Linked DNA regions of Diceros bicornis minor. The protein of the gene in region 1 interacts with the protein of each later gene in a pairwise test. Links are inferred from orthologs where the notes say so. Each region holds a gene or a part of one and is shown on either strand. Other genes may lie near its edges.

Region 1 (16,392 bases):
AATTAAAAACGAACACGTATGTGGAGCAAAAATAAAAATGTGTGTGTAGCCTGCCATTTGCAACTTCTGCTTTAAACAACTCCCCCGGAGGCCTCTAGGGTACTTTAAATAATAACCACTCTATTCCCACTGCTGTCAATCTTATTCCCATGGCACCACTTCCTGGGTGCCTGCGGCATTTCACAAACACTGACCAATCCTGTGAATTACAGAAAAGGTGTGTGTGTGTGTGTGGTGGGGGAGGTGTCAGCATTCTTGGTCCATTTTACAGATGAGGAAATCAAGGCTCAGGCAGGTGAAGCCATTGTTCAAGGCAAAGAGCAGGTAAAAAGTAGAGACAGGATTCGAACCCAGGTCTGTCTGACTCCACTGTCACTCTTCTACCCACAGTGTTTCTCAAACTATTGCCTTGAAAAGAGAAGGAAGCATTCTCTCACCTCTGGGAGGTCTGGGGTTTTGTCCTCACCCTAAGCTCAAAATTATTGGAAGTTGTGCACTAGCTTAAAAATCATTATACATCTTACAGTCTACTTCTTACTAAAGGCGTGTTCCTTTTAGTATAAAATACAGAAGGAAATAAAGAAATAGAAAATCACCCTTAGGCAAATGTCATAGTAATAACTGCTCCAGGCAAAATGGATGGCTGCTGAAATCAGTGCAGGAAGGTCTGAGGACAACCAGGGTATTTACATGCATAACTTCAAAGTAGCTCAAGGGACTTATTAATTACAAGGTATTACCCAAGGTATTTATTAATTACGAAGGGTAAATTAGGAAGCTTACAGTGGAGAAACTTGGCAGACTCCACCTGAGCCACGGGATCGAGGTTGACATCACAGTAATACGATCAACATCAGGTATCTCCTGATACCATGTACTCAGAGGGGCCTCTCATTTCTGGGGTTTTGTTGCCAAAAACGCATAACTTCAGTCTAACCGTGAGAAAAACGTAGTGAAATCCAAACTGAGGGTGTTCTGCAAACTAACCAACTGGCACTCTTCAAAAGTGTCCAGGTCAAGAAAGACGAGGAAAGACAGAGGAACCGTCTGGGACTGGAGACATGACGACGGATTCCTGGATGGGCTCCCGGCCACAAGAAGGATGTTAGTGGGACACTAGCAAAAGCTGAATCGATCTGTGGTTTAGTTAGCGGTACCAGACCAAGGTTAATCGCTGAGTGCAGATAGTTGTACCATGGTTATGTGAGACCTTAACATGAGGGGAGACTGGGTGGAAGACATATGTGAGTTCTTTGGACTATTTTTGCCACTTTCCTCAAAGTCTAAAAGTATTTCAATATAAAAAGTTTTAAAAAGTGCCATGGGGTCACCTTCCTCCCACCCTAAAAAAGTCTTGACATGGAATCGATGCTCCTGATGGGTGTTCATGTGGACCTGGTGGCTTGGTGTGTTCCCTGACACATCCTGGTCACACGAGGGGTCTAGGGAGGGGCAGGATGCCGGGTCCCTGTCTGTTCCCCTTCCAAAAATCACTGATTCTCAGTTTCACAGGAAAAGTTCCCATGTGGGGAACCTCAGGGCCTGTTTTGGCTGCTGTCTGTGGCCCTGAAGCCTGGAAACATCTTGACAAGCCAGCCCTCTCCCCCACCAACGGGGAAACTGAGGTCCAGAGACACCGGGTCACCCAGAGTCAGTGGCCAAGCCCAGCCAGCCTCCAGCCTCTCAAGCTCAGAGTGAATTAGGCTCCGGCTCTGCAGTCCCGTCTGGGTGGAAATCCCAGCTCTACTATTCATGTAGCCGCGGGGTCTTGGGCGCTACTTGGCCTCTCTGGGCCTCAGTTTCCTCACCTGCCGCGTGGGGACAATAATAACAGTGCCTCCCGCAGATTTGCAAGGATGCCGGCCACCGCAGACAGGGCAGCTCTGCTCTTCACCACCGTCAGCCGTTACGATTATCACCCAGGCTACGCTCCATCGCAGGGCGCTCCGATAGGGCGGAGTGACTTTTCCGGCGAACTAGGCGGCGGTGCTAGCCCAGGCTTCTCCACCTTTGGGGTAAGTTCCTTCGCCTTCCTGAACCTCAGTTTCCCACTAGGGCCCACTCTGGGGTGTGTCTGGGGGTGAGGTCTCTGCGGCCACACTCACCTCTCACAGTCGGTGAAGACGAAGCGACGCAGCTTGAGGTCTCGCACGACTAGCCCGTGCTGGTGACAGTGCGCCAGGGCGGCCGCCATCTGGCGGAAGAGCGCGGCGGCCTCGGGCTCCGGGAGGCGGCGGCGGCGGCGCACCAGGCTGTGCATGTCCCCGTGCGGCCGCGGGAAAAAGGCGTAGAGGTGGCGCGTGCCCGCCAGGACCTCGGCGGGCCGGGCCACGTGCGCGTGGGGGGGCAGCTGCGAGTAGGGCTCCAGCACCGTCAGGGCGTCGCAGACCGGGTACACCTGGGGGCGGAGCATGGCGTGAGCAGAGGTGGGGACCCGTGGAGCCACCCCCGGCTGGCCTTGGAAAGAGTCACAACCAACTCTTTAGAAGGATGATGAAATAGAGAATATTCTGGAAGGGGGCACCCATTTTAGAAAGTGTGGTCCAGAAGGGACTCTGGGGAAGTGACCTGAATGATTCAGAGATGCCCATGGGATAAGCTTTCCAGTTGGGGGGCACAGGCAGTGCAAAGGCCCTGCGGCAAGAAAGAGCTTGAGCTGCACTAGAAACCCAGCCAAATACCAGTACGGCTGGAATAGGGTGGGGGAGGGCAGAGGGGCCATGGTGAGGGTGGGGTCCTGGAGAAATGTGCTAGGGTCTTTAGGGACATTAGACAGAAACCTCACCATAGCCCTGAGAGGATGCTCAGAGGAGGAAGGTGAGTTGTTGCAAGCCATATGGCGGCAAAGCTGGTGTGCTCGCTTTGGCTCATCTGACTTTAAACCTTTTGCATGTTATTTTGTCTATGCCGCACAGAAAATAAAAATAAATAAAGCATAGACATATGTAATCCATGGGAAAAAAAGTGTAAGCATATGTCTAAAAAAAAAAAAACAGTTGTGGTGGCATGGAGGAAATAATCCAAAAACAGAGACTTTTTTTAAAGTTAGGGCAAGCGCATTACTGCCTCTGTGCATTTGCACTGGCTGTTCCTGCTGCCTGGACACGCACAGGGCTGGCTCCCTCAATTCATGCAGGTCACTGCTACAATGTCACCTCCTCAGAGAGGTCGTCCCGGCTGTCCCCAGCTAAGATCACCTGCCCCCACTACCCCACTTCCCCTCTCTCCCAGCTCCTAGCTTTTCCTCCGCAGCACTTACGATCACCTGACTTATATTTTACTTATTCACTTGTTTATTGTCCGTGTCCCCCGCTAGAATGTCAGCTTGATGAGAGCAGAATTTTGTCTGTTTTTGAACGACAGCGTGCTGCATGGCGCATACAGGTGCTCACTGAAGGTGTGTGGAATTAATGAATAAGGCGATAATCTACAAAGACACGATGTTGCTCCTTCTACGCTCTGACCAGAAAACCCTAGGCGATGTGGAGATGGCGGGTCAGCCCCTGCGGTTCACGCTGGTGTGGGGACCAGCGCACCCCAGCAGACTCCCCTAAATGTTGCTGAATAATGGGGGCCATGTGAAAGCGTGACGCTTCTTGTCCGAGCTGGCTTGGGTCATTCCTCTCAGCGTGGACCTCCCTCCCCAGTGGGAACAGAAAAGAATCTGCGATGCTGCAGGAAGGGGACCCAGAGTTCAGAGGTCCCTTAGAGCACCTGGGGTCAAGCACGCAGGGAGCCCAGGTGAAGCTGGTGGCTGGACGATGTGCCCAGATCTGTCCCTCTGCCTCCCCACCCCCACCCAGCAGGAGCTGGAGACAGCTGCTGCTGCTCCCAGGTGGAGGCTTAAGTCCTTCTGCCTCTCTGTGCACTCCCAAGGGGACCCAGCTGTCACTCCGCTGGGCCTCTGCATAGCTGTTTCCCCGGCCTGGACCTGCCTTCTCCCACTTCTCCCTGGCTAACTCCTGCTCAGCCTTTTCTGGCTCCCCCCTGAACTACAGTAGAGGCTTCTCCCCTGTGCTCTCAGGGCCCCTCAGCACCACCCCGTTTATCACACTATGGGGCCTACACTGTGAATTCCCCCAGGGCTGGGACTGTCTGGTTTACCCCTGTCTCAGCCCAGCCCCAGCCTGGAGCTTGACAGAGAGCTGGGGGCTCACGGGCTGCTTCCCCAGTAAACACAGGAATAAATTAATATAAAGACCCCCCAGTCCCTGGCAATCCTCTGCAACCAAGACCCTTCTCAGGCCCCCTGTGACGCTGGTGGAGAGTGGCCCCCAGGGCAGGTACCTTGCAGGTGTACTCGGCTCCTGTGGGGCGGTGCAGGGCCCGGTAGGCCTGGCCGCCCTCCTCAGGCTCCAGGAGGACATAGGGCCCAAGCCGGGAGGCGGTGGTCACAGCAGGGGCACGGAGTGGAGCAGGGGGTGGGCTCAGGGGCAGTGGGCAGGGGGGCAGCCTGGGCGGGGGCCCACTTCGAGCTTGTTTCCGGGTGGGAGCCTCAGTGTCTAGGTTGTCGTCCAACTCCAACCGCTTCTTCCTGGAGGGGGCAGCTGCAGGAGCAGCCAGAGGGGTGGCTCGCATCTAGAAAGAAGGAGAGGAAGGCACTCAAGTGAGGCTGTTTGGCGGCCCTCTCTTCCCCTGCTGGTGGGAGGGTACATTGGCCCAGCCAATTACAGAGGATGATTTGTAGTGTGTATTAGACTGACAAGTGCACATAGCCCTAATTGGGTGTCCCACTTCTGGGAATTTATCTTCCAACTAAAATGCTCACCAAAAAATTAAATATGTGAAAGGCTGCTCATCAGAGCCTTGTGTCTAATAGCAAAAGGCAGGAAACACTCCCAAGTGTCCAGCAGTGGGAGGCTGGTTAAATACCATGGTACAGCCATACCGTGGAATACTATACAGCTCTGAAAAAGGACTGGGAAGCTCTCTATACACTGATGTAACGATGCAAGTACAAGGTTATTCCTGCAGCCCATGTGATAGAAACAATTTAACGTCCATCCTTAGGGGGCTGGTTAAATAAATTGTATTTCATCCATACAGGGAACAATTGTAGCCATTCAAAAGATTGAGGAAACTCTTTATGTGCTGATTGGAAAGATCTCCAAAGTGAACTGTTAAGTGAAAACAGAAAAAAAGGTAAAGCGGAGAGAGAGACTTAGTGGTTGTGACAGGGAGGAAGAAAGACTTTGCATTGTATCTGTTGAGTGTCATAGCGCAGGAGGCTATGAGCCGTGACGGGGAGGGAGGGAAGGAGGGAGTAAGATGATGAGGGTGCTGCATGAATGCGGTGGGCCTGAATGCGCATGTGCATGTGCGCTCTGGAACGGACATACTGTCCAGGGGAAAGCAGGCTGCTGAACAGCACACCCAAGGTGACCTCATTTATGCAAAGACCCCCCAGCATATAAAATGATGTAGCTCCATGTTTGCGTGTATGTCGGTGTGTGAATGCACAGGGAAAGGTCTGGAAGGACCCAGACTAAACTGGAGGCCCCCAGGGGAGGAAGGGATTTGGTAGGGGGGCAAGGGAATTTTCAATTTCAGTATTGTAAGGTAAAGATCCTGCGTTCACTTACTGCTTGAGTATTTCAGATCAGAGTGTATTTCTTTTTTTTCAAATGTGAATTTTATCTACTATTGCCTGACGGCTCAAGAGCTCCCGGAATCACAGGGACCACAGGCGAAGTCAGTCCCCCAGCCAGCTCAGCTTCCCCCTCATGTGAGAGGTGAGGCGGGGAGGGGAGGGTCTGTCAAAGGCCCCCAAATTCATTCATTCAGCTGTGGGGGAAGCCACCCCCCGTGCAGCTGTGTCACCGTGTGTGGTGGGTGGAGGAGAGGGCAATGGCATGTCTGGGCGGAAAAGTTCTCTCCAGGACCCATCTGCCCACCCATTCAGGCTCCAAATGAGGGACACGGAGCCCAGGGAAGAGGAGTCAGAGGGAGATGGACTTCAGCCCAGGTGAGACCTTCCCAACAGTCCCAGGCAGGATTAACAGGGAAACATGACTCAGTCAGTTCTCACACTGAGGCCCACCTCTCCAATCACGCTGCTCCCAAATGTCTGGGCTGGCCTGGGAGGAAGGGAGGGAATCCCCACCCCCACCCCCACCCCCACCCCGAGTGAAAGGCCATAATCCCATCTTGGTAAGAATGCAATCAGGGGTGGCTGCAGTCAGATATTCCTGGGTTCTAATCCTGGCTCAGATCCTTCCTGGCTGGGTAGTCCTGGGCAAGCTCTTCAACCTCCCTGAGCCTCAGTTCCCTCATCTGTAAAGTGGGAACAGGATGCAAAGCCCATAGGATTTTTCTGATGATGAAATGAAAACACAAATAAACTAGAGTGGCCTTTTGTAGGGTAGGTGTCAGAAAATGGTCACTACTGTTGGTCCGTTACTATTATTATTATTATTCGTAGCTGAAGATGCTAAAGTGCTACCCCTGAAAGGCTCAGGAATCTCCCTGGGGTGAGGCTAGGATGACACTCTTTACCTCCAGGGCTGTTCTGAGAGTCACACAGGATGACACCTGGCTGTGTGGATGCTTTGTGCCCTGGCAGCACGAGACTCCCTGGAGGGGCCCTCTGGGGGCCACACCAGCACTCAGGCTGCTTGGTCCCATCCATGCCCAGAGGCTGCTGGGTCTGAGATAAGCTCACTGGACAGGTGAGGTAACTGAGGCTGTAGATGAGCAAGGCCACACTGCAGGACTAGAATCTCTGCTGTAGGATGGAGGCAGCCCCCAATATCTACCTCTTGCTGTTCCCTGACACCTCCGGGGAATGAGAGTGAGCCATACCAAACACACACACAACCCAGGGCAGACAGGTGTACTCACGCCCCTCAAAAAGACACTTTGTCCAAGCCAGCCAGCCCGCGCCGCACATCCAGGGCAGAGAGGGACATATCATTACGTGACACACACCTCGCCCTCCAGGGCAAGTGCACAGGCACACACACACAGCTCTCCCCACTATCACACTCAGGACTGCAGGATTGATACCAACGAGGCCATACGCACAGTCTGACACGCCCCCCCAACCCCGCGGAAGGCAGTTAGCACCCTCCCGGCGCCTTCCGCAGCCAGGCCCCTCCGGTGGGAGCTGAAGCGGCGGCCGCGGGTGTCCCGGGCAGAAGGTTCGGCGGAAACCGAGAGGGGTGGGGGCAGTGAGGCAAAGGGAAGGAGGCTGGGCCCCAGGCTGGGAGAAGGGGCGGACCTGGGCCCTCGCCCCCACACGCCCGAGTCTGCAGGTACAATGCACACCATTGGCAGGAACAAATACACGCGCGCACAATACAACGTGCAAACCCGAAGCCGCACCGCCCTCGGGCCCCGCATCCCGCGCTGCATCCTCGCTCCCACTCGCCGTGCACCCCCCCACCTCCCTCCCCGCCCCGCCCCCTCCGGCACCCCAGCTCTTCCCGGCGGTGTCCCCGCACAGCCAACACCTGCCACCAGGTGCCCAACCCTCCCCACAGCTCGCACAGTCCACGAGGACACAGACCCCCGAGACCATCCCCGCCCAGACCCCACAGGGTCACGTGGACACCCGCAGATCCCCACAGGCACGCCCCCACAGTGACACAGACCCTACACGCAGTCCCCCAATGCCCCACACAGGCGCCCCCAGACCTCCCGCACCAAACGACACAACTCCCCCGCCTCACACTCACACAAAACACAGACAACCGCACACCCCTCTCGGGGCGACACCCGGACACCTCAGTCCCCGGCCCCCTCTGCCCCCGGGACACAGCTGCCACTCCCCACGGGAGCGCACCCTCGGCCCAGCCCGAGTCGGCCACACTCGGGCGACCCCACGCCCTGCCGGGCCGTGTCACCTGAGACGCGACGGCAACACTCAGCCCAGGTCGCGCCCTGGACTGCGGGGTTTGTTAAAAGTTGTGTGTGCACGCGCGTGTGTGTAACACGCAGCAACCCGCAGCCGCCCAGAGGCTCCCGGTCCCCCTCCGCCCATCTCCGTCCTCTCTCCTGTCCCCACCGGGTACCTTGCTCCCGCGTGCGCGGGGGTCCTGCCGCCGCTCAAGCTCAGAGTCGCCGGGGCCCCCGGGTGGCCCGGGGTCGGTCCGGTGTGCCGAGCTCGGGATCCCGACGGAGCGCTGTCCCGGCCCCAGCAGCCGGACGCGTGCGGCGCCGCCGGCGCTTCCGCTGCGAGTGTCTCGGGGACGCCAGGCGCCGGGCTCCTGCTCCGGCCCGGGTGATGTAAACCTGAGCTAATCAGCCGCCTCCGGATGCCCTCAGGCCGGGGATTGCACCATCCGCCGCGCCCCGCCCCTCGGGGTCACCGCCGAGCGCGCCCCGCCCCGGCCCCTCCCTTTCGCTCCGCCCCGGCACCCCTCGCCTCTCCCGCCCTCTAGGGGTGTCTGGTCTCCACTCCCTCCCCTCCTGCCCCGTGCCCGAAGTTTGAGCGAGGACACCTGCCTCCGACTCTCCCTATCACCTTGGGAAAAGCATTTTGCTTTTCTGAGCCTCAGTTTCCCCATCTGTGAAATGGCAAGCAAGAACATCCTTCCCTCTCAGGATGGTTCCAAGGAGAAAGAGCAAACCGTGACAGTTTCCTGGGTGCTTCCCCGTTTATAAAGCGCTTTGGGGTCCTGCCCGGTGGCACAGCGGGTAAGTGCACGCGCTCCGATTCAGCGGCACTGGCTTCTCAGGTTCGGAACCGGGCGTGCACAGGCGCACTGCTTGTCAAGCCATGCTGGGACAGTGTCTCACATAAAGTAGAGAAAGATGGGCACAGATGTTAGCTCAGAGCCAGTCTTCCTCAACAAAAAACAGGAGGATTGGCATTGGATGTTAGCTCAGGGCTGATCTTCCTCACACACAGACACACACACACAAATATATATATATATAAAGCACTTTGCCACCATTGCTTTATTAAACCTTTAGGAGAACCCCAGGGGGGCAGGAAGCTCCATCTCCCTATTCTACTCAGGGGGAGCGTGAAGCTCCGCTCTGGGAAAGCAGCCCTGGAGTTTTGCAAAGACCACAGATTTAGGAGCCGCCTCCAGGCTCAAAAGAACCAGTGGGGTGCCCTGGAGAGGCCTGAGGTTGGGTGGGCTTCACAGCATTCATTTGACAGAGGCAGTGCAGCCTAGTGGTTAAGAGCAAACACCCTAGATCCAGCTTGCCTAAGAGTGCACCCCACCACTGCCCAGACCCACTGTGCTACCTCAGGAAAGATACTGAAAACCCTGCTTCAGTTTCCTCCTCCGTAAAACGGGCTTATAATAGTACTCACTTCACGGGGTTGTTGCTTGGATTAAATAAATTAATACGTGTAAAATACTTAGAATGTGTGGCATGTTGTAGGTGCTCAATAAATAGAGTGGGGACAACGGGGGCTCAGAGAGGGGAAGGTGCCCGTTACAGGGCTCACACTCCAGACCTGGGAGGCCTTGGTGGCCCTTGCTGTTTGATGGAACATCCCTGTGCAGCCCCAAGGGGCCAGCACCTTTCTTGGAAATCCCTTTTAGGTCTTGATATCTGAATTCACCAGTGTCAAAAAATAACTCCTTGGGGCAGAAGTTGGATGGGAGGTGGGTGGAGTTCTGTTTCCCTGATTCCAGCACTCCAGGGACCAGCTCCCCTGTGTCTCAGAACCCTCCGAGCACAGCAGGGGGTTGTGGCACCTCACTTAACCCTGGAGACTCCCCTGCCGGGAGGGATGGGTGGACTCATTTTCTACACCAGGAGGTCCCGCAGCCGTCCGGGGCAAAAGAAGGCAGGCATTCTTATCTTCTGAGCACCTCGATGGAGCCAGCACTGTCTGGGTTTGCTCCCACATTCCTAACTTTGTTTCATGCTGTGTCAGACCCTGTTCTAAATGCTGGGGACTCAGCCGTGACAAGTCTGACCTATTCCTGCCCTCAGGGATCTTATAAATCAGTGGGGAGACAGACCATTATCAAGAAAATAAAATTAATAGCCGAGATCATTTAAAATAGGTTATAAATGTTATGTATTTTCTTGAATGAACAGGATAGATTTGTTCTCCATCAGATATGACTGAGCGGTGGCTATTTTCAGTAGGAGTCATCAGGAAGGTGATGTTTAAACTAAGATCTTAAGGAAGCGAAGGGGTGAGGAGTGCAAAGATGTGAGGGGAGACAGAGAAAAAGTAAGTGCAAAGGCCCTGAGGTACTTAAGGAACTGTGAGATGGGCACTGTCACCTCCGTTCTATAGATGAGTCCAGGTGAGGGACTTACCAAGACCACCGAGCTCGTTGTATGAAGCAGATTTGAGATTTGAACCTGGGGCAGCTAACTCCAGTGCCCACACTGTCCAGGGACAGATCACAATCTTTGCAACCCGAAGGCAGCCTCCACCCGGACTTGTGGATGGTCACTGGAACCGCACCCTGGGCCTGGACTCCAGGTTTGAGGGCCTTGTCACAGTTGGGGGTGTCAAATCCCAATTCTCTAGACCAGCACTTTCCAATAGAACATAACATGAGCCAAGTATGTTTTCATTTTTCTAGTCAGGTATTGCAGGAGAATAAAAAGAAGCAGGTGGAATTAATATTAATAAATATTAAATATTCTATTTAATCCAATAACATAGCATATTATCATTTCAACAGATAAGATAATAAAAATTATTAATGAGATAATCTAAAATTTTTTTCATACCAATGTCTTCAAAATCTGGTGTGTATTTCATACTTGGTTTGGACACAAATCAGCATGGAAGCTAAATTGTCAGTGGTGAAAGTGAAATGTTGTCCTCCCAAAACAATTAAATTGGGTTTAAAGGAAAAAATATGCTACCTGTTTTAAAATTAAAATTCAGTAAGATGAAAAATTTGGTTCCTCAGTCACACCAGCCACATTTTAAACGCTCAGGAGCCACGTGTAGCAAATGGCTATGGTATTGAGTAGCACACCCCTAGACCAAGAATTCCAGGGAGTATAGCAAAGAAGTGAAGAGCGTGGGGTCTGCAGTATAGATGCCACAGAGCCTGGAGCCTCAGTTTCTGCATCTATGAAATGGATTGATTATACCTTCTTTGCATTGTAGTCCTAAGGATTAAATGCACTGAGGCAGTTTTCTCATCTGTGAAACGGGGAAAATAATAGTGCCTACTTCATCGGTTTGTTATGAGGATTAAATGACTTAATATCTGTGAAGTGCCTGGCATATAAATGCTATATAAGCATTTGTTAAAAGAAGAGAAAATAAATGGTGATCAACGCCCCAAAATTAAATGCAAAAATGTGCACTTTCCTGGATGGAGAGTTGGGCTTTCGTCAATTCCCTTCTCTGCGGGCTCAGAACGTCCCTCCACCCAGATGCCTGAGCCACGCGGGCTGCATTTCTATTCGCTGTAGTTCCGCTGACCCCCAGCGCTGGGAGGAGGAACTCGGCGCGGGGCGGGGAGGCTGCGCTCCAAGGTGGGGGTGGGAGTCCGTGGACCGCGATGATAGGAGCCGCGCCCGCCTCCCTCCTCCACACCCCGTCGCTGGTGCCTGCCTCAAGCCTGAAATGCCACCGCTGGTGTTCTTAAAACGTTTCAGCTTTTTTTTTCTATGTCTGTCGCCAGTCCTCCTCCTTTTGTTGAGGAAGATTGGCCCTGGGCTAACATCCGTGCCCAATTTCCTCTACTTTATATGGGACTCCCCCACAACATGGCTTGACAAGCAGGGCATCCCTGCGCACGGGGGATGCGGACTGGCGTACCCTGGGCGGTCACAGCCCCGCGTGCGCACCTCACAGCTGTGCCACCAGGCCGGCCCCAAAACCTTCCGCTTGGTAAGTTGTGCCCACGAAAGCGAAAAGATGCTTTGGAAAGAATTTTGGTTGGATTCAGGTCTGGCTGAAGCCATTGACCCCGTGAGATGGTGGGCAAGTCATCTTCCCTCTTGGGGCCTTAGTTTCTTGTCTGTAAAATAGGAAGAAAGAGTTGGATTAGGTCGGTGTTTTCTAAAATATGACATGTATAGCAATGGTGGGGTCTCAAGACTCTGAATCATTGAATCATTTGGTGGTACATGCATTTCCTTTTGATTTTCTTCCTGTTCCTCCAGTTACTGGGGGGAAAAGTCTCATTTTACAGCCTCTCTGTCTTTAACAACTCGCTTGGTAAGGAAGAGAGAGCAGGGCTCAGTCCAGAGCCTTCAGCAAGAAACAGGATTTTGCTAGGCTTGAAGAATCTTATTTTGCTTTCCTTGTATTTAATTTGATGGTGACTTTCTCCTTACCGGAAATGATAGTGGCTTTCCATTTGAGGTCAGTGACTTAAATGTTCCCTTTTAAATGAATTTACCTAAGTTTTAAAAAATAAGCTGATTGAAAGAAAAACATCAGGAAACTAATAATACAGATGCGTAAATGGATTTGAGCCAATCAATTTGGGAAAAGCAGTGAGTGATTCAAGAGTTGCAGCTCTAGGCCTGTGCTCCTCTTGGGGAGCCCTCATTAGGAGACCAGACACCCCCCCTTCTCTGGGGTTTCCCAGGGGCTTTGCAGAAATCCCTCATCATCCGAATGTGGCTGAGGCTGGGCCTCAGGAAAGGCAGGAAGCCCTGTGCGTGGGCACAGCATCTTCCCAGAGGTGGCCCAGTGGCAGCCACGGCCCTGCCAGGTGACCCAGGTCTGCCCTGTGGGCCTGGGTTTTCTTTAGGAAGAATGTGATTCCTGTGCTTGAGGATGGAGCATGGCCCTGTGTGGGTGCTTCCTTACATCACCTCACTGCATCCTCAAACCTCCCAGGGAGTTGCTGTTTTCATCCCTGGAGACAGATGAGGAAACTGGGCTCAGAGAGGTGACATCACTGGCCTAAGGATGAGGAGGGTAGTGTGATTAGGAGCCTGTCTATCTGGCTTAAAGCCCAGGTGGTCTTTGTCCACAGCCTTACATAACCTCTTTGGCCAGTACTAGTTATATGACACTGGGCAAGTCACTTAGCTGCTCTGAGACCCAGAGCCTCATCTATGAAATGGAATTGATAGTAGCATCCTCCTGATAGGGTTATTGAACTGCTTCTTGTTACCGGGAACTGTTATTGGATTAAATGGAGGGTTAAATGAGTTAATACAGGTAAGGTGCTTAGAAGAGTTCGTGGCACACAGTAAGCACTTGATGATAAGCGGCAATATTATGTCTACGGAGCCCAGGCTGCTGCCTCCCCTGCACCCCAACACACACCACTTGAGAGCTGAGGGTGGAGGGAGAGGTGGGGACACACCTCCTGAGCATCCCCCGTGTGGCAGGCCTGGGCTGTGTCCTCCGTCTGCTTTCTCCTGTAATCCTGACCACAGCCCTGTGAGCTAAGGATGAACTTATGCCCTTTCTACAAGTGAGAAAACCAGGTGTCAGAGAGGAGAAGTAACCTGCCCAGGATCACACAGCAAGTCCAGGGGTTTGAACCCAGGTCTGTGTAGTTCCAAAGCCCGTGTCCTTCCGCTATTTCAGGAGCCTCAAGGAGATTGGCTGAAAGCTCTGGGGAAGTCCTGTGCCCCCCTCAAGGGTGAGGGGTCCTCTCCCCAACCTGCGGTGGGAGGAGCTGGATACCGCAGGAGGAAGGCAGGTTTCTGGTTCTGACCTTGCCTTTGACCTTGGGCAGCCCCAGTCCCTCTCCCGGCTCAGCCACAAAATTACTGCTTCATGTGTGTAAGGATGGGGCTCTCTGAACTTCCAGGGATCCTGCTCTGTCCCCTACCTTCCAGCTGAGGGGAGGAGGGAGCCCAGATCCACCCCTCCCAGTACTGGAGCTGCCACTGAGTTGCTGAGTCGTCTGATCCCTGCCCTGCCTGCCTTCCTTCCTGCCCGCCCCCTGCGGTTCTGAAGCCATCAGCACCAGGGAAGGAAAGGGATGCTGTGTTCCATCCAGGCCACTGTCCAGCCCTTCCCTTTCTGAGAAAAGCTTGTGAGATGGGGGGTGGGGGGGGCACTTCGAGGTGTTCAGCCAGCAGCCGGTTGCATCAGAAAAGCCTTGCGCAAGGCGCCCTCCTGGGTCAGGCGTGGAGTCCTGCCCCATAGCCCCTACCCCCATCCCAGCCGGAGCCCCTGGGGTGCTAGAGTAAGGACTGTTAGGCCTTGTGGGGGACACTCAACCAGGCCTGGCCCTCGGGAGTGACCTGGGGAGGGCGAGAGCATGGAGGGGAGTGTTTGGATGATGGCACTTTAGGCTGGAAGGTGCTCCTCAAGGAGTCCAGAGCGAACTCCCCCACTCAGTCCCTCCCTGGACACTGACTGAGCCCTGACCCTTGACTCTGGTCATAGACTGAGCCCTAGTCCCTGACTTTGGACTCTGACTGAACTCTAACCTGAAACCTTGGCCATAGCCTGAGCCCTGATCACTGCCCCTAGCCAGGGCTAAACCCTGACCCTGGCACCAAACTGAGTGCTGACTCGGTTCCTGACTGGGCACCCACCTTTTCCCATCCTGACCCCTGGCCTGAATTCCAATTCTGGCTCCTGACTGAGTTATAGTCCCGCAGACAGACTTAGCTCTAATCTGTTACCCCTGACCCCAGTCCCCAGATACACCCAGCTCTAGCCCCAGGCCTGAGTGTCTTGAGACACTCTTAAGAATCAAGAGAGCTGTGTCAGGCACAAGCATCAGGAGCTTGGCATCTGCTGGCCTCCCTCCTGGGCCTCTTACCCACCCAGGCTGAGGATGGCCCAGGGGCTGGGTTGAGCTGGGGGCCCCCATGGAGCTGTCCCCTGACTAGCATGAGACTGTGACTCAGCAGGGTGGGGGCTGGAGGTAGAGTCAGCAGGGTCATTGAGGTTGGGCGGGGGCAGGTGCTGAGTCAGCGCAGGGAGAGAGAGGACAGTGTCTCTGAGGTCAGAGCTGAGGGGGTGGGGGTGGGAGGCTCCAGGTCTAAAAATGGATGGTACATGTGGCCGGCCGGGACCGTTAAGGTAAAGCAGCCCCGTCCGAGTCCTATCCACCTCCATCTGCCCATTTATTGCCCATTTTTCCATCACTCATCTATATTATTCTCTCTCAGAGCATCCTGTTCTTTTCCTTCATAGCACGTATTATAATTTGGAATTATATATGTATTTGTTTTTTCATTTATTTAGTGTCTGTCTCCCCCACTAAACTGTAAGCTCCTTCAGGGCAGGCAGCTGCCAGTTTGGCTCCCAGTGTATCTCCAGGTCCTGGTACAGTGCCTGGCACACAGTAAGTGTTCAGTAAATAGTAGATGAATGGATTAAATCTTTCCACCTATTTATTCGTGCCTCATCCATCCATTTACCATTCACCTGTAATCCATTCCCCACCACCGATGCATTCAACTTTCTCCTACCATCTCTCCATTCTTCCATCTACCCTCCACTCAACCGTTATCCACCCATCCATCCATCCATCCATCCACCCACCCACCCACCTATACATCTTTCCAGCATCGAACCATATATACGCTCATTCAACAAATACTTATGGAGTACTTCCTAATTGCCAAGCACTATTCTAATGGCTGGAGATACTGCCATGAAAATAACAGACAAAAAACAGTGCTTACATCCCAGCAGAAAGAAAATATGCAAGAAGTAATTAACATAATAAATACTTAAATTATAGGTCATGTTAGAGAGTATTAGAGGAAAAGAGTAGAAACATAGAAGAGTGGGTGAAGAGGATCAGGAGGGGGCATGGAGGCAGGTGGTGGGTAGGGTGGTCCGGCGGATGCCATGAGACTCTCTGGAGGGCAAATTGTTCAGGCAGGGGGAATGGCTTATGCAAGGCTGAGGGGACACTTGACGGGTGTGCTGATGAAGGAGGTCAGCGTGGCTGGAGTGGAGCAAGCGAGAGGGAGGCGGTAATAGATGAGGTCAGAGAGGTGATGGGGGCAGACCATCTCGAGCTTTGTAGGCCTTTGAAAGGACTCTGGGGAGAAGGGAGCAGATGTCGCAATAATTCTGCTGAGAAACGCCGGTGGCTCAGAGCAGGGCAGCAGCAGTGCAGGTGGTGAGATGTGATTGGATTCTGGGTATGTTAAAGGTAGAACCAACAGGATTGCTAATGGTTCAGATGTGGACTGTGAGGGAAAGGGAGGTGTCAAAGATGCTGCCAAGGTTTCTTGGCCTGAACAACTCCAAGTATGGAGCTGCCATCAGATGAGATGGGCAAGGTGTCTGGAGGCAGCCCCAAGGTTCAGCTTTGGCTGTGTTGAGTCTGAGATGTCTTTCAGACCTCCTAGAGGAGACGTCGGGTAGGCAGTGGATGTATGCGCTGGAGTTCAGGGGCGAGGTCTGGGCTGAAGATATAGATCTAGAGTCATGGGCATGAGACTGGATGAGAGCACCAAGGACCAAGTGCTGGACCACTCCAGCAGGAAGGGTAGGGAGAAGCAAATGAGGGACCGATGAGGTAGGAGGACGGCTAGGAGAGCATGGACACCTGGAGGCCA
Region 2 (16,429 bases), on another chromosome or scaffold:
CCGGGCTTTGCCGGTTCGGATCCTGGCACGAACCGATACACCGCTTGTTCAGGCCATGCTGTGGCAGCGTCCCATATAAAGTGGAGGAAGATGGGCACGGATGTTAGCCCAGAGCCAGTCTTCCTCAGCAAAAATAGGAGGATTGGCAGATGTTAGCTCAGGGCCAATCTTCCTCACACACACACACACAAAAAGAATGGAATAAACTGACAAGCAACGAGCGGCTTGCTAACCAGACCTTAGCCTAGGCAGTCTCCACCGTTCCAGGCTGAACGGACAGCGGTGCAAAGGCCGAGGCAGGAGCGCGCTCCGCGGGCTCCCGGGCAGGCAGCAGTCAATGTGGCTTGACCAGAGGGCTGTATGAAGCCACGGGAGGGTTCCAGGTGTCAGGATCTGACTTACATTTTGAAAGACTCACCCAGGTTGCCGGGGGTGGGGTGGGGCACCACTCTTGCAGCCCCCTGGTGGGAGCTGGTGGTGGCCTGGGCTACCCTGTCTGGCACTTACACAACCACCCCACCTGGTGGGGACAGCCAACCCCAGTTGCAGGAAACTGAGCCTCAGAGAGAGGCAGCCTCCCACACAGCCCCAGACGGGCGGCGCTGCCTTTCTAAGCCAATCCGCAGCATGGAACCCTCAGTGCTCACCTCCACGTCAAGGCCATCTCTCCTCCACAGTACAGGTGTCCCCAACAGGGTGGTGGGATAGAGACCCCTCCTGGTTTCAACTGCCCTCTCTCACCTCCTTAGGCCACCTGGGATTCTGGTCCTAATTTCCTCCGTCCTGCTCCTTCTCCCGGAGGACAGGCACACTCGAGGCCATTCACCCTCCCAGGTGTAACCAACCTGAAGAGACAGACGAATAGAGGGCATGTCTGTCTGCCTGCTCACCACGGGGAAGGGCTATGGAAAGCCTCCACTGCCTGTCATGCTTCCAGGCTGAGTCATGTGAAGGGATCCCTAAATGTCACTGCATACTAACCGCCAAGAAGGCATTGTCACACGTGTTCCATTTCTCAACCTATCCAATGACATATTGGTGGTTTTTTTTTTTGGTAAGGAAGATTGGCCCTGAGCTAACATCTGTTAGCTCCTCCATTTTGTATGTGGGAAGCTGCCACAGCATGGCTTGATGAGTGGTGTAGGTCCACACCTGAGATCTGAACCCGTGAACCCCGGGCCGCTGAAGCAGAGCATGCAAACTTAACCACTATGCCACCGGGCCAGCCCCTTAGTGGGTATTTTTTTAAAAATGAAAATGAAAATTATTTTTGTGAATAGGTAGCTGTTCACGTGCCTCTATGTTCAAAAGGTACAAAAGGGAACACCATGGTCTCCATCCTCCCCCGTCCCCCAGCCAGCAGCTCTCTTCCCTGGAAACAAGCTGTTAGGTTTCGTGTGCCTCTTTCCAGAGATTTGTGGTGCATTTAAGCAAATGCACAGTTTGCCCTCTCGCCCTTTGTGCACACGCGGTCATGCCAGACACGCTGTTCTGCACTGTGTCTTCTCACTGGATCTCAGAGTCATTTTCAGCAGGCTCACTGCCCTCGTTGGACAGAGGAAGGAGGCCGTCAGAGGGGAGCCACGTGGCAGAGGCACCAACATGCTGGCTCCTCACAGTTGCCTTGAGCTGCTACCTAAATGCTTCTTGGATTCACAGCTTCTCAGCCATCTCTCTCCTTCCTTTCTTCTCTTGAAACACTCTGCCCCAAAAAGTCACTTCACGACTAATTGGCAATTACACTCTCCTTCCCGCTCCCGAGGCCCGAACTGTCGCTGAGGGAGCTCAGGTGATGGGACAAACAGCAATTCTCCCCATGGGGAAAACGAATCAGGGAAGACGTTCATGGAAAGAAGTCAGGAAACAACCTGATACACACAGCCAGAAAGGGGCAGAGGTCCTGAAGAGGAGATATTAAGGAAGATTCTAGAACAACCACTCTAAATATAAAATAATGCGACTGGACGAGATCTGAGGAATACTCTGGTGCTGGTCCCTTCTTTTTGCCAAGAATGTTTTGTTTCTTTCTCTTGTATTGATTTTTTTCTCTACCTAACTGCATTTTTAACATTTGAATTTTAACTCCACAATGCATCCATCAGTCCTTTCTTTAAAATAGTTTTGAACACAAAGCTAAGATTCCCTTGATCACTGTCCTCCATCCTGGTCCCCACCCCGGTGAGGGCACCCCAGTTAAGAGCTGCAGTGTTGGGCCGGCCCGCTGGCGTAGTGGTTAAGTTCGCGTGCTCTGCTTCGGCAGCCTGGGGTTTGCAGGTTCGGACCTACTGCACTGCTCATCGAGCCATGCTGCGGCAGCGTCCCACATACAAAAATAGAGGGAGACTGGCAAGAGATGTCAGCTCAGGGCCACTCTTCCTCACCAAACAAAACAAAACAAGGAGCTGAAGTGTATCTTTTATCTATGTATTTGCGTGTGTGCTCATAGCCAGAGGAAATGTGTTTATTATTCCTGTGTTTTCCCTGCTACACAGGGTATCACACTGTTATGTGTCACTCTACAACTTGTCCTTTTCCCAACGTGCTTTTCACTCCTTCTAGCCGCTGCCAATCAGTGCATGGTATGACGACACCACATTTTATTGATCCATGCCTCCACTGGTGGACATTTAGGATGCTTCCAATTTTTCCTCACCATAAACAATACTGCCACAAGCATGCTCCGTCCTGCTTTCTTGGCACAGGCGCAGACATTTTTCCAGGGCAGATCCCTAGAAGTAGAACTGCAGGCCGTGGACTCCTGCATTTCTGTTTTACTAGGGGCTACCAAACGCCCTGCAACCTGCCACACCTGTTTTTACTCTAAGTGGCAGTGCCTGAGACGACCACTGCCCTGCAGCCTGGCAGCACCTAAGAGGAGGAAAGTCCTGCCAATCTGATGTACCAACTGCATTTATTAAAGAATAATGATAAAAGACCTAACCACTCAGCACTCACTCTGCCACCATGTGTTGGGTAACTCACAAATATACCTCATTCATTCAGTCAACAAACATCCACTGAGACTTCAGACAGTACAGGCCTTGTGCTGGGCAAACAAAAACAATCTGGCACGGCCACCAACCTCAAAAACCCGGAGTGTTGTTGAAATGTGATGAAGGAAAAGCCACCAGAATTGAAAACAGGTACTCAAACAAAAACTTGTACACAAATGTTGACAGCAGCATTATTCCCAATGGCCGAAAGGCGCCCTCATGTCCCACCACTCTTTGCCTCCATCATCCCACTCCAGTGCCACCAGCCTCCTCTTGTTCTTCAGAAGTGCCTAAAGCGCTCCTGCCTCAGGGCCTTTGCACTTGCTGTTCCCTGTCCCTGCAAGGCTCTCCCCTGAGATGTCCCTATGGCTCACTCCCTTACCTCCTGCAGGTCTGTGTTAAAATGTCACCTGCTCATGAGGTCTTCCCTGGCTATCCTTAGGACTTAGCACCATCTGAAATATAATATATTGAACTGATGGATCTCGTTTATTATCTGTCTCCCCATTCGAATGTCAGCTCCCTGAGCTGTACAACTGTTTCATGTACTAACCTGTTTAGTTCTCACCCCTCCCACCATGAGGGTACCACTAGTATCTCCCTTTTCGAGTTAAGTAACTTGTCTAATGTCAACATCAACGTCAAAGTCAGGAAGAATAAGACAAGGTCCTGCTCTGAAATAATTCAGAGTTTACTGAGGGTAACAGACAAAGAGAGAAATTATAGGACGACAAGGTGGATGCTGGGAAAGAGCTTTGGTTAGAACCTACTGGAAGCCCAGGGGAAGTGGTGATTAACTCTGCCTGGGAGATGTGGGAGAGGAGGGTCTTGGAAACCTTTCTAAAAGAGGAGGGGATGTTGAAGCTTGTTTCGAGGGATGTGGAGGAGTTACTCAGCGTAGGAAGAGAGTAGATTAACACCTCATCCCAGGCAAAAGCTCTGACAGGCAAGGGCCTGCTGCTTTGGGGAACAATGTTAAACCTGTATTAAAACACAAGATGCCAGGGCCGGCCCGGAGGCGCAGCAGTTAAGTGCGCGCGCTCCACTGCAGCAGCCCAGGGTTCGTGGGTTCGGATCCCGGGCGCGCACTGATGCACTGCTTGGTGAGTCACGCTGTGGCGGTGTCTCATACAAAGTGGAGGAAGATAGGCACGGATGTTAGCCCAGGGCCAGTCTTCCTCAGGAAAAAGAGGAGACTGGGCAGATGTTAGCTCAGGGCTGATCTTCCTCACACGCACAAAAAACACAAGACGCCAAAGAAGATACACAAATGGCGGACAATCACATGAAAAGATGCTCAGCATCATCAGCCACCGGGAAATGCAAATCAAAACCACGAGATACCAGTGCACACCCCCTAGGATGGCAATAATAAAAAAGATGGGCAATATCAAGTGTTGGCAAGGATGTGGAGAAACTGGACCGCTCGTTCATGGCTAGTGGGAATGTAAAATGGTGCAGCCACTTTGGAAACAGTCTGGCAGTTCCTCAAAAGGTTAAAACATAGAGTTACCCTAGAATCCAGCAATTCCACTCCTAGGTATCTCTCAGAAGAAATGAAAACAAATGTCCTCACAAAACTTGTACATCCAGGGGGCTGGCCCTGTGGCTTAGCAGTTAAGAGCATGTGCTCCGCTGCTGGCGGCCCGGGTTCGGATCCAGGCGCACACCGACGCACTGCCTCTCCGGCTATGCTGAGGCCGCGTCCCACATACAGCAACTAGCAGGATGTGCAACTACGACATACAACTATCTACTGGGGCTTTGGGGAGAAAAAGAGAAAAAAAGGAGGAGGATTGGCAATAGATGTTAGCTCAGGGCTGATCTTCCTCACAAAAAAATAAAAAAAGAAACAAAAAACACAAAAGTTGTACATGCATATTTGCCAAAAAGTAGAAGCAACTCAAAAGTCCATCAACTGATGAATGGATAAAATGTAGTACATGCATACAATGGAACAGTATTCAGCCCTAAGGAATGAAGTGTCGACATATGCCACAAAATGGACAAACCCTTAAAACCAGACACAAAGGACCACCTAACGCATGATTCCATTCATACAAAATGTCCGGAACAGGCAAATCTAGAGAGACAGAAAACAGATTAGTGGTTGCCTAGGGCTGGGGGATGGGGGAATGGAGAGTGACTGCTAATGGGTATGGGACTTCTTTTTGGAGTGACGAAAATGTTCTAAAATTAGATTGTGGTGATGAGTGTACAACTCTGTGAATCTAATAAAAACCACAGAATTGTACACTTTAATAAATGGGTGTGAATTACAGCATCTCAATAAAGCCATTCAACAAACCAACCAAGCACGGGATACTGAGAAAAGGTTGAGAGGGTGGGCAGGGGCTGGGCAGAGTGGTTTCTTTTTCTTTCTTTTTTTTTTTTGTGAGGGAGATCAGCCCTGAGCTAACATCCATGCTAATCCTCCTCTTTTTTTTTGCTGAGGAAGACCGGCTCTGAGCTAACATCTATTGCCAATCCTCCTCCTTTATTTTTCCTTCCCCGAAGCCCCAGTAGATAGTTGTATGTCTTGGTTGCACATCCTTCTAGTTGCTGTATGTGGGACGCGGCCTCAGCATGGCCGGAGACGCGGTGCGTTGGTGCGCACCTGGGATCCGAACCCGGGCCGCCAGTATTGGAGCGCGCGCACTTAACCGCTAAGCCACCGGGCCGGCCCTGGGCAGAGTGGTTTCTAAAGACAGGACCAAGCTTTCCTCTGAGGACAAGGAAAACTGGTTGAGAATGGGCTAGGGACGAGACTGGAGTTAAAATGCTCAGTCAGCTGTGAGGCCATCAGGGGGCTTCATGGGAAATGCAGCTAGGCATGGATACAACACTGAGATATCAAGACCTGGAGAGGGGATGAAGTATCACGGCCAAGGGGCTCTAAGAGCAAAGCAGGTAGGGCTGTGCGTGTGTGTGTGCATGCATGTGTGTGTGTGTGCGCGTGGAGAGGGGCTGAAGCACCACGGCCAAGAAGCTCTAAGAGCAAAGCAGGTGTGTGCGTGTGTGTGTGCATGCGTGTGTGTGTGTGTGCGCCTGGAGAGGGGCTGAAGCACCACGGCCAAGAAGCTCTAAGAGCAAAGCAGGTGTGTGCGTGTGTGTGTGCATGCGTGTGTGTGTGTGTGCGCCTGGAGAGGGGCTGAAGCACCACGGCCAAGAAGCTCTAAGAGCAAAGCAGGTGTGTGTGTGTCAGAGCCGCACACACCTGAGCTCCCTCCCCAGCCTCTCTCCCGTAATCAACACCAGCTAATCAACACCAGCGTCCCAGGGGAGAGGCAGTGATGTCAGTGGGGGAAGGAGGGAAGGGTCCAGGCCAGGTTGTTGCAGAGACGGTTGCCATGGAGATGGCTTCTCTGGGGACCAGGTGAAAGCTGCCAGAGGTGGGGGCAGGGTGGCTTTGATTCTGAGAATCAGAACTAACCAGAGCCCCTACCTGTCCCTGGATACCAGTCACTACACTAACGTTTCTAGCACTTATTATGTGCCATGCCCTGTTCCCAGTCCTTACCTGCACGGACTCACAACCCTATGAGGTGGGCACTATCAGCGTTCCCATTTCACAGATGAGCAAACTGAAGTTGAGAAAAATCAAGTAACTTGCCCAAAGTCACACAGGTAGTTAAGACTGACCCAGGCTGTCCGGCCCCAGAGCTGAGCTGGGGCCTCATGAGCCTCTCCAACGTGACATTTTTTCAGCCCTGCCAACATGTACTGTGTCCCCTACCCTCTTCCCATTCTCTAATGACATCCCGGGCCAACTCCATCACCTTCCAGACTAGTTTAGATTTTATTCTTGAATCTAATTCGGTGCTGTCCGCCTCCCCTCAGCTGCAGGCTGGCCTCCTGGCGGCCTGGAGTGAAGAGTGGGTGTCAGCTGCTCTTTCCTGTCTCTCTTCAGGAATCTGTTCCTGCTCTGGGTGGGGGCGGGCAGGAGGGGCAGGAGGAGAGGGCAAGGGGCTCTTGAACCAACTGGGCTCTGGTGACCCTCGATGCTCTCCGTAAGGCGGTCCCAACATGTCTCTGGAGGGGCACCTGGGGGACCTGGGAGGCTTTCCTGCTGTGGCTCCCTGTCTCTGCTTCAATCCTTCTCTCTTGCCCCCTCACCTTCCACTACGACTGGCTGCCCGCTGGGTTCCGAGCTGCTAGTTTCCTCGGTGCTCAAGCGACCCTGTGGGAACTGGGCATCCGTGGCCCACCTCATGGTGGGGCACAGGCTACGCTGAGGCTGCCCCGCCCCGCCCCAGAGCCCTGCCATTGCTCTCCACCTGTCTTCCCTCATCTTGGTACGATGAGCTGTGAGAAAGGAAAGCAGCCCTGACAGCCAGACCCTGGGGCTCTCCTGTTAGACATACCAGTGTCACTGGACACCCATATCAGGCAAGGCCACTCGGACCGTGATGGACTGAGACAAAAATAAGACCACTCCGGAGTCGCATCTCAACACAGACAAAAACACGAACATTGTCCAAAGCACAAAAATGACCAAACATCCTCCTCCCGGCTCAGAGCTGCTGGCTGCTTCTTAACCAGCGCATCAACTCCATTCATTCCTCCCGCCTCTGGATAAGATAAAGACACCCAGTCACAGACTTGCCCCTGCTTCCTGCCAGCATCCGACCCAGAGCAAAGCCCCGCTTCCCTGACCCTTCCCCAAAGTCACCGGACCCTGCCCAGCTCCTATAACAAGTCCTCGCTACCACCCCCCTTACTGAGAGGCCCCTTGGGCCCCCATGGCGGGCGACCTCCCCAGCTGGTGGCCTCTGGCTGGGGGCACGGACAGCTGACAAGGAACAGACAGGGTAATAAGACGCCAGCACCCCTCCAGCAGGCACCCAACCCTCACTGACGATTCTCTAGAGACTTCCTTCCCTGCTCCCCACAAACACTGCCCTCCAGACTGCACATGGCATGAGGCTAAGTCTGAGCGAGACCCTGCTCCTCTTCAGTCTTGGTCAGTACAGCAGGGAGGGGTGTGGCCCGAATTCCCAGTGACTCTAGGATGAGGAGCACTGGGTTCCTTTTGTTCTCTGCTCCGGGCAGAGGGCTACAGATTTGGGGCTGCAGTGGAATCACTGAACACGAAGGTCAGGGAGGGCCCTGACCTAAGCCTATCCACATTCGTGATTTGTTGGGGTTTCTCTGAATTATTCGCTAACCTTTTAAAACCTGAATCTTGCAGAAAAATCTAGATTTCCAACTTCTCCTGTAAAATCAGAAGCTCCGCATCACCAGGCTGCACTGCTGCCAGGCAGATGGGCCGTCCCTGAGCTGCACTTGTGTCTTTCCGGTGGTCCGGGGGCTTTGCAGAGCCACCTCTGAGACAGGGCCTGCGGGGATGGCTCACTTGCTGAGCCAGGCACTGCTCTAGGCCTTTTCACATATATCTCTGTGGTTCTCACCACTGCCCTCTCAGGAGGGTTCTGCTACTGTCCCCACTTTAGTGATGAGGCCACAGAGCAGGAAGTGATGGCATCCCAAGATCCAGGACATTATGTTGTCAATTACCTTCAGTTTGCCCTGTCCTTTTCCTATAGCCAGTCCCTGTGGGCCCGTGAGGGAGGGGGCACCCCAGGGCTAGCCCCAGTCTTTATCTCCCAGATGAGGAAACTGAGGCTCTGAGAGGGGAGGTGTGGTAGGCTGGATAATGGCCCCCCCAAAGATGTCCATGTCCCAGTCCCCAGAACCTGTGAATATGCAACCTCACGTGGCAAAAGGGACTTTGCAGATGTGATTACATTAAGGATCTTGCGATGGAGGCATTATCCTGGATTATCTGGGAAGGCCCTAATGTCATCACAAGGGCCTTTATAAGAGAGAGGGCAAGAAGATCAAAGGAGGAAATAGGAGATGTGATGATGGAAGCAGATGCTGGAGTGATGTGAGGACGGGGCCACAAGCTAAGGAATGCAGGCAGCCTCTAGAAGCCAGAAAAAGCAAGGAAATAGATTCTCCCCTAGAGCCTCCAGAAGGAACCAGCCCTGCAGACCCATTTTAGACTTTCCGGTCTCCAGAAACGAAAGGGAATAAATGTGTGTTGCTTTAAGCCACTCAGTTTGCGGCAATTTGTTACAACAGCTAATACAGAAGATGAGCATCGAGGATGCCCGAGCTGGTGCGGCAGGGTAGGGCCTGACTAGGTTCTAAGAGCTGCAGCTGCTTCTGCCAAGGGAGAAGAGCAGGAGCAAGGGGAGGGGCGGGGGCCTCTGGAGGACTCTGAGCCACCGGGCCACGTGGCAGACCTGTGCTCTGCATGTCCAGCCCCCGCACTGCCCTTTCCCCAGCTGAGCTGGCCTTAGCCTTCCTGCCCTTGTTTGCCAGGACGTGTACCTCCAACCTGTCCCCCTGGCCTGCATGACCCAGATACCTGCCCCTGTGCCTCTTTAGAGACCACAGTATTGAACCCCAGCCTCTGTGCATGAGCAACTCACTTACAAATGAAGTGATGTCTACTGAGACAGCAGCAAAAGACTGGGGGCTGTGGGCAATGATTCTGGGAACGAGGAGGGTCCCGACCTTGCCGTCTAAGTGCTCGCGGAAACAGTCACTTACACAAACATCTGTCTGAAAGCAGAACGAAGTGTAATGGGAACAGGAAGAGAAACAAACACACATAGACCCTGAGCTCCTGGTACACGTTGGGCCTGACCTCCATCATTTCATAGACTCTCCCGGCACCCAACCCTTAGAGAGAACTAATGTTCACAACTGGGCAGGCCCCGTTCTAGGAAGTTTACATGCATTTACCTATTTAATCCTCACCACAACCCTCTGAGGTGGGTCCTCTTAACCCCATTTCATGGATGCGGAAATCGAGTCTGAGAGAGAAGATGCCACTTGCCGAGGGGTCACCGAAGTGGTGGAGTTGGGATGTGAACTCAGCAGGCTGGCTCCAGAGTCCACGCACTGACCCACTTTGCAGAAAGCAGCCGAGGCTTAGGCACAGGAAGGACCTTGTCTGCATCCCCGGCCAGGGCTGAGTGATGCGGGCTCAGGATGAGAACCTGGGTCCATCTGATGCAAACTCGGTGCCTCTTCCATCATGCCAGGCTGTCACCTTGATTGGGAAACCAGTGAGGGGTTGCTGCAATAGTACAGGTGAGGAGGGCCTGCTCTAGGGCAGCGGAGGTCACAATCAATAGAATTTGGCAATTGTGAGCAGCAGACCCGAGGTGAAGGTCTAGGCTGGGTGGCCTCCCAGCAGGCTATGCCCTGGGCCAGGGGTCAGGGACCCCGTCGATCTGAGAGGAGACAGGCTCTCCCTGGGGCTTGTAGGGCCTTGGAAGCTGTGCTCTATAGTCGAGGCCTGGGCTCTCACTAGCAGTGTGATTGTGCTCAATGCCTTCCACCTCTTGAGGCCTCTGTCTTGCCCCCTGCAAGACAAGTGGGTTGGCGCCTATAATCTCAGGCCTCTCCTGGGCATGTGTCTCAGATTCCCAGGGTCCTGCACAGGTGGCTGCTCTCCCTCCCCCTCCTCTGCCCCTCCCTTGCTGTGCTGGGACCTCTCCCAGATCCAGGGCTCTAGTGCTCTGCTAACCAGGAACCATTGCCAGGTGTGCTGGGGCCCCCCAGAGAATCCCCCCACTCCCCCTCCCCAGTAAGGAGCCAGGGTGATGCAACCTGCCTGCAAGGGCCACCTCACTCCCGGAGCCGGGCTCCTACGCACTGAAAAAGAGTCCCCAGCAGCCCCACCCACGCTCCTAGCTCCAGCTCAGGAGCTGAAGGGGCTGGGGCCCCTGGACCCTGGAAGACTTTGTGAAGCAGGAGGCCGAGGCACCCGAGTCCCAGAGGGACTGCGGGTCTGGGTCAGGGGTGGGCACAGGACAGGGCTCAGGGTGCTGAGACCTGGTCTCACAGACAGCCACTGATGACCTACCGCCCATAAATTAGAACATGCTGGGAAGAGCTAGGGAGCTAAGTGTGCGAACTGGCACCCTCTCAGCAGGACTGAGTCAAGTGCTTGAGTGGGGCAGTTGGCACCAGGGCTGAACTAGGTGGGATCCAACACCTATAGAGAGAAAAAGGCACAAGGGACTGGGACAGGGGACCAGGGTCCCTGCCCTAGTGTCTTCTCAGTCAGCATACACCGAACACTCATTTCCAGTTATTAAAAAATATCCTACCTAGCCATCCTCTCAAAAACCCATAACCCCAGTCTATGAGACAAAACCAAATTGGGGGACATTCCACAGAATACCCAACCACCACTCTTCAAAGCCGTCAAGGTCATGAAAGACAAGGGAAATCTGAGAACCTGCCGCAGCCCAGAGAACGCTAAGAAGACAGATGACTAAATGTAATATGGCATCGTGGACAGACGCCGGAATAAAAAGAGGGCATTAGGGCGCAACTAGTGAAACCAGAACAGAGTGTGGAGTTTAGTTAATAGAAATGTATGATGTTTGTTCCTTAGTTGTGACAAATGAACCAAGTAATCTAAGGTGTCAACAACGGGGGAACTGCGTGAGGGGTATATGGCAACTCCACTATCTTTGCAACTTTTCTGTAAATCTAAAATTACTCCAAAATAAAAAGTTGATTTAAAGAAAAATACTTTACCTAGTCCACGTGTATAACCTAGGTCTTTCCAGAAGGAGAAGACTCTGGGTGATGACTGGGCCTCCTCACTGCCAGCAGTCTGTCCAAGAGCCTACCCTACTCTCACCTGCTGTTACTCAACATCTATACTGAGAAGCAGAAAGTCGGCCCCTAAGTCTCACTTAAAAGGTGGAAGACTTTTTAAAGAACTTACTGCTTAGCAAAGGAGATAAAACACACACCTCACTAATAATAATAATAATAATACCCCCTTAGGTAGCACCTACTGTGTGCCAGGCACTAGTCTAAACGCTTGACCTCGGTTAACTTATTTAATCCTCGTTAACAGTACTAAGAAATAGGTACAATATAATAATGGCCACGTACATTGGTACGTTTCTATTAACCAAACTCCACACTCCATTCTGGTATTATTAATGGAAACTGAGGCACAGGGAAATAAAGGACATTGCCAGTGAGCTACTAAGTGCGGTGCAGTCAGGGATGGAACGCAATAACCTGGTTCCAGAGTGTGCTCTTAACTGCTCCTCTATACCGACTAGGTATAACGCAGCCCCTATAGCGCCAGTGCTCAAATACCAGCAGAGTGGACAATAAGTGTCTAAGGGAAAGTGGTCAGATCCCAAGAAGGACTTGCTGCATGCAACAAAAGCCTGCGTATGTTCATTCCCAGATAACTCTCAAGATCGGGGTTCCCCCACCTTCTCTGGATCTTGATTCAGTTTCATAACCAACACAAAAGTGATGAAGGCTGAACTCCAGGTGTCACATCCTGATGTGGACAGAGGCAGGGTGGGAAAGGGAGGGGTTTCTGCAGCAGAGGAAAGACCCGCATCCACTTGGGCTGGTGGAGGGCCCAGCCACAGGGAGGGGATGGCGAGGAAGCTCTCCTCTTTTAGCAAATGCAAGTGTAGGTCTCCCCATTTTTGGCAGGGCTGGAACACGGATCCAGTGGGGCGCAGCAGAGGCGGGGGACTCTTTGAAAGGAAGTCAGGGTGAGGGGCAGGGGCAGAAGAATGAACCAAGTGTCTCGAAAGAAGTGCTGAGGATAAGCGCTGAGGGGAGGTGGGCACGGGATGGAGAAAACAGCGAGGGCGACGATGCCTGAATTCCCTGCACCGAGAGGGGGCTGACCGCCCATCATCTGGCGTGGAGGAGGGTGGGGACGGCTGGACACTGAGGAGTAAAGGCGACACTGCTAAAGAATGACCTATTAGCAGGTGTCGGATGGTCAGGAGTCTGGGGCTCTTGGCAGGAGGAGAGCAAGGCGTCAGACCGAGCCCCAGAATTCGTATTAATAATAAAACACACCGAACAGGCCTGCAGGGAGCCGGGCCCTGGGTCCCACGGCTCTCCGCTTATTTCATTCGCACAAACAACCCCACCTCATTTTGCGAACGGTTCCCCATCTATGAGGCCAGAGAACTTAAGTTATATGCCCAAGGCCACCCTGGCCGGTCTATGACTCACGCCAGCCTCGAACCACAAAAAGGGTTGGGGGACGGCAGTTGGGGGATAAGGAGACGAGCATGCGGCTGGCCGGAAATTCGTGAACCGGGGCAGGGAAACAAGAAATGAACCGACGCGGGTCTCGGGGAAGAGGAGGGGCCGAATTCCCGGAATCGCAGGGAGGAGGGGGCTGGACCCCCACGTCGGGGGGAAGGGAAGGCCGGAACTCCCGGGGTCGGGAGGAAGAGGGGGCTGGATCCCCGGATCAGAGGAAGCAGAAGGGCCGGATCCCGGGGTCGGAAGGAAGAGAGGGCCGGATCCCGGGATCCCGAGGGGAGGCCAGGCCCGCCCCCCGGTTGGGGCCGCGCGGGGGCGGGGCGCGGAGGGATCCGAGCGGGCCGTGCTGCGCCGCCCCCGGTATATCTGTTCCCAGTCCCCGGCGCCGCCTCAGTCCCCGTCCTCAGATCACGATCTCTCCTCACGCTACCCCGACGCCGCCTCCGCCCGCGTAGCCCCGGCCATGGCTCTGTAGCCGCCACCCCTCCGTGCCTCACGGCCCATCTCCGCGCTCACCGCGCTTGCGCTCTCCGCTCCCGCCTTCTTTCTTCAGCCGAGGCCGCCGTCGCCTCTCCTTTCTGCAGCCATGGAGTGAGTAACGCTCGCCCCTCCCTCTCCAACCGCCTTTCCCGCCCTTTGGAAGCTCGCGGCCCTCACAACGCGACCTGGGGGATGGCGAGACGAGAGCGAGGAATCACGGTCGCGCAGGCGCAGAAGAGGGAAAACGGGCCGTCGACGCGAGGCGGAGCATGCGCACTCGGCTCGAGGGGGGGAGGGTGCGTTCTTCCAGCGAGTGTTGGAGTTTAAAGACGGCCCGCGTGAGGTTGCGCCTGCGCACTACCCCCCAGGACGATTCCGCCCTCTCGCGGTTGCTCATGCGCAGCAGCCCACCAGAGTCCGTATTTGCGTCCGAAGGGCGGGCAGTAAGCAGCCGCACATGCGCAGTGACCCCCAGGAGGACGAAGCATGTGCTTTGGCCCTGGGTTAGAGAGCCGGGAGTGGAAGGGTGGTGGCGAGGAGAGCTGTTCCTCCCCGGCCTCCCGGCTCCCACGACCTGCGTCCCGGCTTCACATTGCTCAGGCGCACTGCATAGCTTCTCTTTCATCGGGCACCTGTTGGGGCGAGGGCTGGTGTAGATTGACAGGGTAGAAGGCGGGACTTAGAGGCAACCTGTTAAAAAGGGGGTGGAGCTAGGATCACAGCCATCGGGAGGAGTGGGGCTTGAGGGAACCCATTGTGAGAGGGGCGGGGCTCAGCGAACCGTTTGCTGAGGGGCGGGGTTTCGATCCGAGAAAGAGGTGGGGCCTCGGGGGAATCATCGGGGAGGGGTGGGGCTAAGATAAACAGTGAGGGGCGGGACTTAGAGGGTCGGGGGAGGTCACCGCAAAGTTAAAAGGGCAGAGTGGGATTTGAGTGGATCACATGGATGAAGGGGCGGGGCAGGGGGAAATTCCCCTGGGAGCTGATTTGAGATGGACTCGAGGGAGGCGATGGGGCCTAAAGGAAATATTTTAGAGGGGGTGGTGCGGCTGGAAGAAAATTCCCCTGGGATTGAGTTTTTTTACGAAGGGGAATATTATGAGGTGGGTGGGAGGAGTTAAGGAAATTCCCCGGGGAGACCTGTAGGTTTCTGTATTGGAAGGATCCGGGCTTGGGGATTCTAAAGAAAAGTAAGTCGATCCTAAAGCGAATTCCCTTGGGAGTGGGTGGGCCTCAGAGATTTGGGGAAAGAAAGAGCAGATTTAGAATTCTGAGAGCTAGGCTCGTCCCAAGCCCAGTTGGAAGCAGGAGTGGGGGAGGGGGGAGGACCCCAGGGAGGTGGGGGTGTGGCTTGGTTTCCCTGTGACTTCCGTAGTGGGTGAGGCTGGCTTCTGACCCCAGTCGCTTTTGCCTCCCACATGTAGGTCCTCCACTTCCGCCTTGGTGCCTGTCTTCGCCCAGCTGAGCAACCTCCAGAGCCCCCTGTCAGCTGCCGGTGCAGCCTCCTTCGTTGCCATCCGCGCCCAGCGCCTGTGCTGCAGCCATGTCACTCCTGGCGACCCTGGGGCTGGAGCTGGACAGGGCCCTGCTCCCAGCTAGCGGGCTGGGCTGGCTCGTAGACTATGGGAAACTCCCCCTGGCCCCTGCCCCCCTGGGCCCCTATGAGGTCCTTGGGGGAGCCCTGGAGGGCGGGCTTCCAGGGGGGGGAGAGCCCCTGGCAGGTAAGGGCAGGCAAAGAATGGAGGTGGGGTGAATTGGGGTATGGGGGGCAGGGGGAAGGAGGAAGAATTCCTTCATTCATTTATTCATTCAATCCATCAATATTTATTGAGCACCTATAACATGTCAGGTGCTGGGGATACAGATGGGAACAAGACTGACACGATCACTGTCCTCCTGGAGTTCACACTCTAGTGAGGAGACAGACGAGACATATTCAATGATAATGTGGCATAAGTGGGAAACAGTCATTTAGCTGAAAAATGACAACGGGGACCTAGTTTATAGTGTGTAGCCAGGAAACCCTCTCCAAGTAGGTAGCGTTTTGGCTGAGGCCTAAAGCATGGGAGGGAATGAGCCATGAAAAGATCCAAGGGAATAGCTTTTCAGGAGGAGGGAACAGCATATGCAGAGGCCCTGAGGAAGGAATTATTTTATTCATTAATGTGTCCGACATGCTTGGTACATAGTGGGTTTTCAATACTTAATGAGTTAAAGAGGAAACGGGGTGTGTTGTGTATGTGCAATCTAGTTTGCCTTTTAAGAATAAACTAGAGAGTAAATCAGACAAACCACAGGTGTAGAGTAATCAGTAAAGAGGATGTTGGAATGGTTGAAGTAATGGCTAATTGTTTTGTTGTTTGGGTCATTGGGTGGTTGACTGGTTCACTGATTGATTGGTTAAAAGGTTGATTGGTTGGTTGACTGATTCATTTAGTTGGTTGGTTGGTTGGTTGATTGGTTGACTCGGTTAATTGGTTAGTTAGATGTTTGACTGGTTTATTGGTTGGTTGGTTGGCTGGTTTGATGATTCATTGATTGGTTGGTTGACTGATTGGCTAGTTGGTGGGTTTACTCAGTGAATGGAATGAATGAGGCTGACATGAGTGAGCACCCGGTTGGGTGGAGGACCAGGAACTCAAGGACCTTTATGTCCCCCTGCACTCCTCCAGGTGACGGCTTCTCTGACTGGATGACTGAGCGGGTTGACTTTACAGCCCTTCTCCCTCTGGAGCCCCCCTTGCCCCCAGGTGCCCTCCCCCCACCTTCCCCACCCCCACCTGACCTGGAAGCCATGGCCTCCCTCCTCAAGAAGGAGCTGGAGCAGATGGAAGACTTCTTCCTTGATGCCCCACTCCTCCCGCCATCCTCCCCACCACCAC

Evidence for each region.
Region 2: the proteins of TRIB3 (region 1) and ATF5 interact in a two-hybrid assay, tested with the Homo sapiens proteins (2 studies listed by BioGRID and IntAct). The link is inferred for Diceros bicornis minor from reciprocal best matches to the Homo sapiens genes TRIB3 and ATF5.

The regions. Positions count from the first base shown.
Region 1 is NC_080758.1:28,573,637-28,590,028, reverse strand, and holds the start of TRIB3 (tribbles homolog 3), read right to left. Parts: upstream 8,189-16,392; 5' UTR 8,013-8,188; intron 4,579-8,012; coding exon 4,288-4,578; intron 2,399-4,287; coding exon 2,106-2,398; intron 1-2,105. UniProt on the Homo sapiens protein: Inactive protein kinase which acts as a regulator of the integrated stress response (ISR), a process for adaptation to various stress. Inhibits the transcriptional activity of DDIT3/CHOP and is involved in DDIT3/CHOP-dependent cell death during ER stress.
Region 2 is NC_080773.1:25,272,514-25,288,942, forward strand, and holds the start of ATF5 (cyclic AMP-dependent transcription factor ATF-5), read left to right. Parts: upstream 1-13,429; 5' UTR 13,430-13,658; exon of another isoform or gene 13,659-13,808; intron 13,809-14,971; 5' UTR 14,972-15,090; coding exon 15,091-15,268; intron 15,269-16,219; coding exon 16,220-16,429.